2 linked regions of the Coturnix japonica genome follow. The protein of the gene in region 2 purifies or fractionates together with the protein of the main gene of each other region. This does not show direct contact. Links are inferred from orthologs where the notes say so. Each region holds a gene or a part of one and is shown on either strand. Other genes may lie near its edges.

Region 1 (4,496 bases), on a different chromosome or scaffold from region 2:
TTCTGTGGCTATACAAAGGTGACAACCCAGGGTGATGGACTGCTGAGACCATAGAGATGCCATTCAGCATAGATCTTCTGCTCCTACGAATGGCAACTGCCACAGCTTCTGCTTTACCTCAGCAATGTGCAAGGAACTTGACTGTGGTTCTAACTAAATATTTATACTGAGAATTTTTCTCTTAACTTAGAAAACTGCAAAGGCAACAGACGTACTTTAAGGTAGCGTCCCTTTATGCTACATACTCTATTTCCTCCTTCCTCACTTCCTCTCAACTGGGATCATTTAAAACTGTAATTTCTTTCAAAGACTGGTCCTTCTCTCTAAAACTTGGCTGTTTTGTGGACCTTAGCCCGAGATCAACAAACCTTACTTTATCTGGAGAACATTAAAGTAACAAAGTTTTTTTTTTTTTTTGTTTTCTTAAAAAAGAGAATTTCCAGATTCCTAAGAGCTCTTACTGCACACTTTATAAGGCCTTAGCCAAAAATGCATAACCACCATTATTCAAGGAGACAACTAACAGGAGTCAATGCAGCTTGTCAGGTTCAAAAGACTTGAGTAACTTTTGTAATTAGAATTAACATAAGACACAGAATGTTTAGGAGGTTAATGAACTCTAAAAAGAACGATGTTGTTTGAGATATCAATAGAGCTTTTGAAGGATGGAGGGGAAATCCTACTCTTGCATTATGCTGATTTAGAAGAAAGCTTCAATTATTTTCAGTTCTCACTTCACTCTTCCATATCACCAATGGCAAGTTTGAATAGGGAAAGAAGAAAAAGCTTTCAAACCAGTACAAAAAGCTCTTGCAGAAAAGCAAATTGAGAAGCTTGTTTCAAAGGAAAGTCTTGGAACACTAGAAATTAAAAATTTCCCAAAGCCATGAAAAACACTCACAGCCTTCTTACTCAAGGGCTAACTACAGGCCCCAGAATACAGGCTTGAGAGCTGACAAACATTATTAGATGATTTTCTAGAATCTATTGATATCTAAGCCTTCTCCTTCATAGATGAAGCACAATGCACTGCCCACGCAGCCAGATTATTACAATGAAAGAGCCTTCTATCAAATAAAAATCCTGCATGTACTGAAGAAAACCCCATTCACTGCTATACTTAACATTTTTCCCTTAGCACATCCTGTTTTGCACATTTTCAAGGCACTGTCTGGGCATTCATATGTAACTGTAATCTTCACCAGTAGAGTGAGGAATGCGCTCGTTGTTTCAGAAATGAATATAACACTAAACACAGTTCCCTGCCATCAACTCTATCTCCTTCCATCTCCATGTAGTTTGTACGTTTTCTTCCCGAACATTTCTTAAAGGACTACAGCAGCCAAAGTCTTATTTTTCCTTCTACCTGCTTGAATTGCGGCATGGCAAGCAGATTGCTGCTTTGTGAAAAAGCCAGGACGGTTTACAGACTGAATACCAGACAACAGTCAGTGTAGAAAAAATAACATAACTTCAGCAAATGAACCAAGAAGACGTTTCCCCACGTGAAGCATATAAGTTAGTAACAAATAGAGCATTGTGCTACTCTAGTTTCAGCACACACAGACTCCACGTTTATGTCTTTAACTCAGTACGCTTTAATGTCTACAACCCGAATGAAATTCAGTGTTAAAAGCATAACTGGTTTTATAAGGGCAGACGGACAAAATATTTTGGAGGAAGTCTGAAGGCTGCCTCTTCCTGAAAATGACTTGGGAAAAAAAATATTCCACAATAGCATCTGTAAAGACATTCCTTCTTCAAAAAAGGGACTCCACAAAATGACTTTCGTGACCCCTATGAGCAACTACTAAGAAAGTCTTATCCTCTTCCTCTTTCTTCTTCAGCCATTTATTTCCACCCATTTCCTTTTGCTGTGTCAAGTGATCATGTGGTAAACCAGATCAGCAAGTTCATTAAAACATGAAAATAACCTGAACATGAGCAGAACCCTGCAGTGCCAGAGCACCAGCAGACTGCCGTGCCACCTCACTGAAGGACAAAGTGACAGGGAGGGCACAGCGAGCCTGTCTGTCTGGCAGCAACCTGCATCTTACCACAGCCTGCCCAGGCTGGGGATGCCCAACATTAGGCATAGAACATCTAGCCTGCCTGATAACTCCGCAAGGCTGAACAGTATAAATCCTTGAAATTTGCAAGATTCTTACCCTAAACCTAACCAATCATTTTGCAAATCGGAGGACTGGAAAAAAAAGCTTCTTCCCGCATATCTGGCTGCTAAAAGCAGCACCACACCCTTCTCATCTCCCGGAAGCCCACACAGCACTTCATTCACCTTCCCAGAGGGCAACTGCAGCGTCGGGGCTCCTATCGTTGCCTTTTTCCTATTTCAGGTCAACTCTGAAAGATGCTCAGTGGGTGAGATACCAGAGGAAACTGTTACTTGGAAGAAGTTCTGAGGCTTTAACAGATCAGCAGAAGGTGGATGATGACGCACTGAGTGCTCCTAAACCCGGTCAGCAGTGTTTTTACAAGACCCTGCGATTCGCTATGAGTTTTGAGAAACGAAGATCCTTGCGGTGTGCCCGAGGACAGACCCGCAGCCCGCGCCGCAGCGCTCGGGCGGCGCCGACGTTAATGGCGGCGGGGCGGGGAGAGGCGGGGGCCGCCGGTTCTGACAGCCCGAGCCCCGCTCTCCCGCTGTCCACGTGTCAGCCAGCAAAGGCCGCCCGCGCCCACGGTGGCCCCGCGCTGACAGGGAGAAGAGGGGAAGGTGGAGGGGGGGACTAGTCTTGGGGACCCTCCCTTACCTGGCTTGGCGGGCTTGGGCGGTGGCTTGGACATGGCTGCGGCGGGACCAGACGAGCTGCGCAAGTGCCTCGGGGCGGTGGGGCAGAGCGGGGCGAGCCGCTCCGGGCTGCTGGGCACGGTGCGCGGCGACAGCTGCGGGTAGGAAGGGAGGGGGCGGACGGGCGGCCGCCGGTACCCTGCGCAGCGCCCCACAGCGGCAGCGGCAATCGCTGCAGCAGCCCGAAACACCCTACAGCCAATCCTCGCCTCTCTCTCCTTTCCTCGGTGGGAAGATCACGGGGAAGGGAGGGCGGCCAATCGGACCGCGCTGTGTCGGAGGGGGCGGAGCTGGCACCGCAGGGCGGGTGACGGCTGGGCAGCCGGAGCACGGCTAGTGGCGGTAGGGGGTGGGCTTTGTTTGGGTGTGTGGGTCCCGCGGGTCCGCTCCTCCCGTGTGGGAGCTCCTGGGGCGGGTGGCTCGTTTGGATGCTGTCGTCGCACGTTTAATGCTCAGCCCGAGGCAGCTCTGTGAGGGAACTGTCGTGGAACTTCACTCGGCCCTTTAAAGAGGCCGAGTTAACTTTGGAGTTGTGTGCTGCAACGCTGGAGGCCAGTTTGCCCTCGCAGTTTGGGTTCTACGTTGTGTTCTGAGGGAGGCAGAGTTGGTGGGTTGGTTGGGATAAAGTTTTGTATAGCCAGTGACGTAAGTTGAGTCCAAAGCTCAGTGTGTGCGCCCAGATGTTATTTGGGTTGTGCTGCAGAGTTTTTGTGGGACAAAGGCTAATCCCCCAGAACACAAACCTCAGTGACAGCTTGGTTGGAAAACAGCAGTGGGGTTTTTGCAGATCATGTTTCATCATATCCTGAGAGCAGGTAGTCTGTTTTCTGGCTCCACACAGACAGCCAATGCCATAAACATACAGTGAATGGTGGAATTTGGGAGTTACTGGATTTTTGAAACATTTTTCTTCCCTCAGCACAACACTGGTATTTGTTTTTTATTTTAATTGGCTTTTTGTTTGTTTGTCTTTCCACCTCAGCACCTGTTTACCCAGACATTTGGATACTGTTAATGATTGAGCTGGGGTTGTGTTTTTTATCCGGGTACTTCTGTGCTTATCAGCAGTGGTAGAATTGAATCTCTCAAGGTCTGTCTCAAGTCATCAAATACTGACCTAGGTAAAACGCATAGAAATCTGTAATGCGGCATCTGTGTTGGAGGGTTTTGTTAGCATTTGAACAAGCAGTTGTGGTTCTGACAGTAGGCTTATGGGGGAAAAAAAGACAGAAAACAAGTATATAATACTACATAAGGCTGGAATGTCTTAATAAGTGCTGTTATTTTTTCTGATTTGAGAGTTTTCTCTGACTCTGTTTTTGACAGTGTAAAGGAAGAACTGAAGAGAAAACAAGCAATGAAAATACTGGTGATTGGCCTTGGAGGGTAAGCATGAAAAAATTATACGCCTGAATGGATCATTTTTGAAAATAGCTTACAAATACAGCATATTATGGACTTTTTGTAAACATGTAACTCCTAGGAAATTATTCCTTTCTCTATTGGAGATCTTAGGTACCACTTCTAATTTCTTTCTTGTCGCTGTTAGATTTACTTTCTAAAATCTGTTAGAACTTGCCAGAAAAATTCAAGAGTGTGTTTTGTGTTAATAAACCTCTTGGAGGTGAGGAGAGAGAGGAATGACTGGCGTCTACACTATTTATGTAGCGGTGTATGTCCATAAGTG
Region 2 (3,903 bases):
ATTCACATTCATTAAATGATCACAGAAGAAAACCAAAGCCACCAACCCAACACAGCAGAATACCCCATACACACATTCAGCTGTCATTTGTCTTTCTCACAGCAAAACTGTGAAAGTACAAAATTAAACAAGCTGAAGTTTGAGTTGAAATGTGCATATGCTTACATCTCTTTTCCTTGGATATGCCACTATTTGACGTATAATATTTGAGAAATTGCTTGAATAGGGACAGAGTGTTAGTATTTTCAAGTGGGGATTAAAAGTTACCATTATCGTAAGAACTGATTCCATTTTAGTTGAGTTTGATAACACACAATCCTTGTATTTAATTATTTTAGCATCAGTAGCTGCCGTTCTTACCAAATATCACCCCCATTATGTGGGGAAAAAACTGAAATCTTGCCTATTTTTACTCCAGAATCGGCTTCCTGAAAGCCGCCCTTTCGTCGGACTGGGTTTTTGTTTGTTTGTTTCACTGGTTTCCTAGCAACAATTTCCACAATAAAAGGCCTATTTTCCAATATGTAAATGATTGATTTTAACAGCCCTCCAATGTACACGTTTTTTACTCCACTACAAGTTTTAGGCATACTTTCACTTGAGTAACTTTTCTCCCAGTGTTAAAGTGGAATTAAGTGGTGCACAGCAGAATTTTAAGGGGTGGGAAGGGAAGGAAAACTTAAGAGAAAGGATCTACATTTACTGCCAAGACCTAAATGACACTTTCAAGGGGCAGCCATGATTGTGGCTTCTGTAAATGCTCTACATCTGCATGTAATTGTGCTGGTCTGTGTGCCAAATGGCAGGAAGTGAATTTTGGTGTGCTGTTGATGTGGTCAAGAATGTTCTTTATCAGACTTCACAAATTGTTTCACTGTGATTAAAAAAAGAACTCCACACTGCAAACATCAGCACTTTTACCACTACAAAAAGTACTTATGTATGATTAAAAATGTTTAGTAACGTACCCTACCTCAGTGTGAAATAGAAGAGCATCTCTTTTTAAACTAAAAAATAATACTAAAAAGTACCATATGCTTAAAGATGCCTTAAAGCAAATGCAATCAACCAAAGACTTAGACATGAATCCAGTGTCTGTATAATCACCTGAGATCAGTCTATCAATTTCTCTTTGAAGAGATAGATAACAGAACTTGAAATTCAGTAAGTAAAAAACAATAGCAAAAACTATATTATGTCATTTTATATAATATGCATATATATATGCTATATATATAATATATGTGTCATGTTTTCTCTTTTTTTTGTGTGTGTGTGATTTTTTTTGTTCATTTCATGAAAGTAAATTCAGACACCCTGCTGGATTTCTGCTACCCAATAAAAGCTGTTTTCAAAAGCATGAAGCAAAAGTCAGGATTAATTTAGAATTATTTAGATTTAGGAGAGATAATTTCTGAAGGCTTTTAGACTATCCAGTTCTATTTGTCTGTGGGTTATATGATTAAAAAACATGATTTTTTTTAGCTTTGTTTTTTTCCTTGGACTCAGTGCTCGTTCCTATCACACACTCTTGCTTATTCATACCTGCTCTCCTCCCAGTCTCGAGGTTTCTTGGTCTCATTGGGTTTGATGCAGCGGATGTAGTGTGGTGTGCACTTCATGAGGGTGCCAACAAGATCATTTGCTTGTTTCTGTAAAATTAAAGGAAAACATTATAGAAACAGAGGTGAACAAAGTAAATCCTCTGAGAGAGTTCTCAGGGTATCAGCCCTGTGCTGATGATCCACGTGGCTTGGGTTCTTCTCCAGAAAGGCCGAAGTGTCCTGGGACAGTATGTAGCAGTAACAGAGCTGAGCTTTTAGCATATGAAGGCTATCAACAGACAGTCACTTATTTCTGTGTAAGGTACGAGGGAGGAATTAAAAAAAAAAAACAACAACTCAGTCAATAGCAAAAGTATGCAAAAGTAAGGAAATCATTCCTTTTATTATTTTTATACTACTGGATAGTTTTCTCCTGTTCCACTAATCATTTTCCCCTATCATGTTATTCTTTCTATTTAAAACTAACGCACACTGGTCTCTATGAACATGTTTGTAAAAGATGGATAAACACATCCAATGAAAAGTCATCACCTTCCACCAGTCTCTCAGGAAAATATTAGCATTAAATAGAAGTCCCCATTATCTCCAGCTATGTAATACAATATATTTTATCTACTATACAAAAATACAGAGTGGTGAGTATGGGGAATGCGTCCAGTGGTTTAAACTGTAAGGCTGAAATATGAAGAAAGATGCTGAAAAAATACTGTTTGCAAAGTCTTCAAGTACACATAAATGTATGTTTTACAGCCAGCCTCAAAAAAAAAACCACACACACACACAAAATCGATGCTTGCCTTCTAACACTCACTGCCTTATCCAGCCCACGTTATGGTCAATAGAAAGACTTCTGTTGACTTCAGTGGGTGTAGGATCAGGCCCTGCTGCATTTCTGCACTATAAAGAGCCCAGTTATCTGTAGTTAATTGTAGGACATCAAGTGGCCGAGTGAAGGGGCTCATTCATCACGCACATGCAAAGACTATCACCACTGCCATCAATTGCTCATTTTGAAAATTCTGCACCATAAAATGCAGCTGAACAAAAGGTTTAATGAGCAGCAATGCTGGGCAGAACACGATTCTAACAACTGAAACAACGCAATGCTTTGCAAACACAGCACTGCTAAGTCTGGATAATAAAAACAAAGACTAACTTTCTTTTTAGTTGAGGTATCGTTGCACAAACTGCCACATTCATATATGCATATACAAGAACAGCCATACCTTGATTTTACTGCCAGCGGTGGTGGGACGACCCTTCTTGTCTACTTGAAGATTTTCAGGAAACAGAGCCTTTATAAAAGGCCTAGAAAAGAATTGGTACAGAAAGACAATTCAGTGCAGAAATGGAGAAGAATATGATGTAAAAGCTGATAGGCGAGCAGAATATAAATAGCTTTTTATATTAATCCAGAGTGCTATCAAATCTATTTTAAGATCAGTATTTTCCATGAGCCTCATTCCTCACAGAGATCTCTATATTAGTGAGCTCTGGAAGACATGAGACACCAGTCTTCCAGACTCAAAGCGCTTCCTAAAAAGCCTCAATTAAAATACATAGCAGAAAAAATGTTACTTTATACATTCAAAGAGTGCCTATTTTATAATAATGCTGCATTAGTGACAGCTTTCTTCAAGGCAAAAAAATATTGATCTTATATATGATACCATTTGAGTCTGACATTTCAGCACCCTACTTACTCCGATTGGCAGGAAATGAAGACCAAGTGTAACAGAAGCTATACCGTTTTACTGTAGTGATGGTTCATTTCCATTTTTATGCGAATTAGCTCACAAGATGTGAAGTAGTAGAGATGTTAGGCCCTCTGCATCCATCTAAACTAGCACACATTATTCCTAGCTTAAGCAAATTTTGCTTACGTACAAATCACTGCTCTGCATGAGTTCAATCAAGTCCATGAAAAGAACATCCCGATTTCTCTCGCAGAATCCATCCATATCATAAGATACCTGGGCCAAGGTGGAAATTGATTGTTTGTGGTAAGTTGAGAACCCAATAATTACAGAAAAAAATATATCCTGTCCTCAACAGTAGCTGCTCTGAAATTTTGGCTAGTCTGATACTATTTAAAGACAGTATAGCGATGAGTAAATCCTTGCATGTATTACTTGACTCTTTCACAACAAAGGAATTACATCCATAGACTTAAGCTAAACAAAAAAGGACCTACAAACAAGTCAGTAGAATGCAATACAAGTGAATTTAATGCTGAAATTTATAGAAGAAAAATATTTTGCATAACGATGTACTGTTATTAAATATAATAGCAGGAAACAATGAGTAGAATGAGACATACATCCAAATTAAGACAGAA

What was found.
Region 1: the proteins of MYO1E (region 2) and OSTF1 purify together in Homo sapiens (co-immunoprecipitation; 3 studies listed by BioGRID and IntAct, counting the BioPlex papers as one, with this or other methods). This does not show direct contact. The link is inferred for Coturnix japonica from reciprocal best matches to the Homo sapiens genes MYO1E and OSTF1.

Annotation. Positions count from the first base shown.
Region 1 is NC_029547.1:33,132,345-33,136,840, reverse strand, and holds the start of OSTF1 (osteoclast-stimulating factor 1), read right to left. Parts: upstream 2,969-4,496; 5' UTR 2,806-2,968; coding exon 2,772-2,805; intron 2,477-2,771; exon of another isoform or gene 2,385-2,476; intron 2,380-2,384; coding exon of another isoform or gene 2,369-2,379; exon of another isoform or gene 2,288-2,368; intron 1-2,287. Other genes in the region: NMRK1 (nicotinamide riboside kinase 1), read left to right, coding at 2,369-2,379, 4,136-4,195.
Region 2 is NC_029525.1:5,793,470-5,797,372, reverse strand, and holds part of MYO1E (unconventional myosin-Ie), read right to left. Parts: intron 3,539-3,903; coding exon 3,453-3,538; intron 2,874-3,452; coding exon 2,792-2,873; intron 1,653-2,791; coding exon 1,546-1,652; intron 1-1,545. UniProt on the Homo sapiens protein: Actin-based motor molecule with ATPase activity. Unconventional myosins serve in intracellular movements. Their highly divergent tails bind to membranous compartments, which are then moved relative to actin filaments.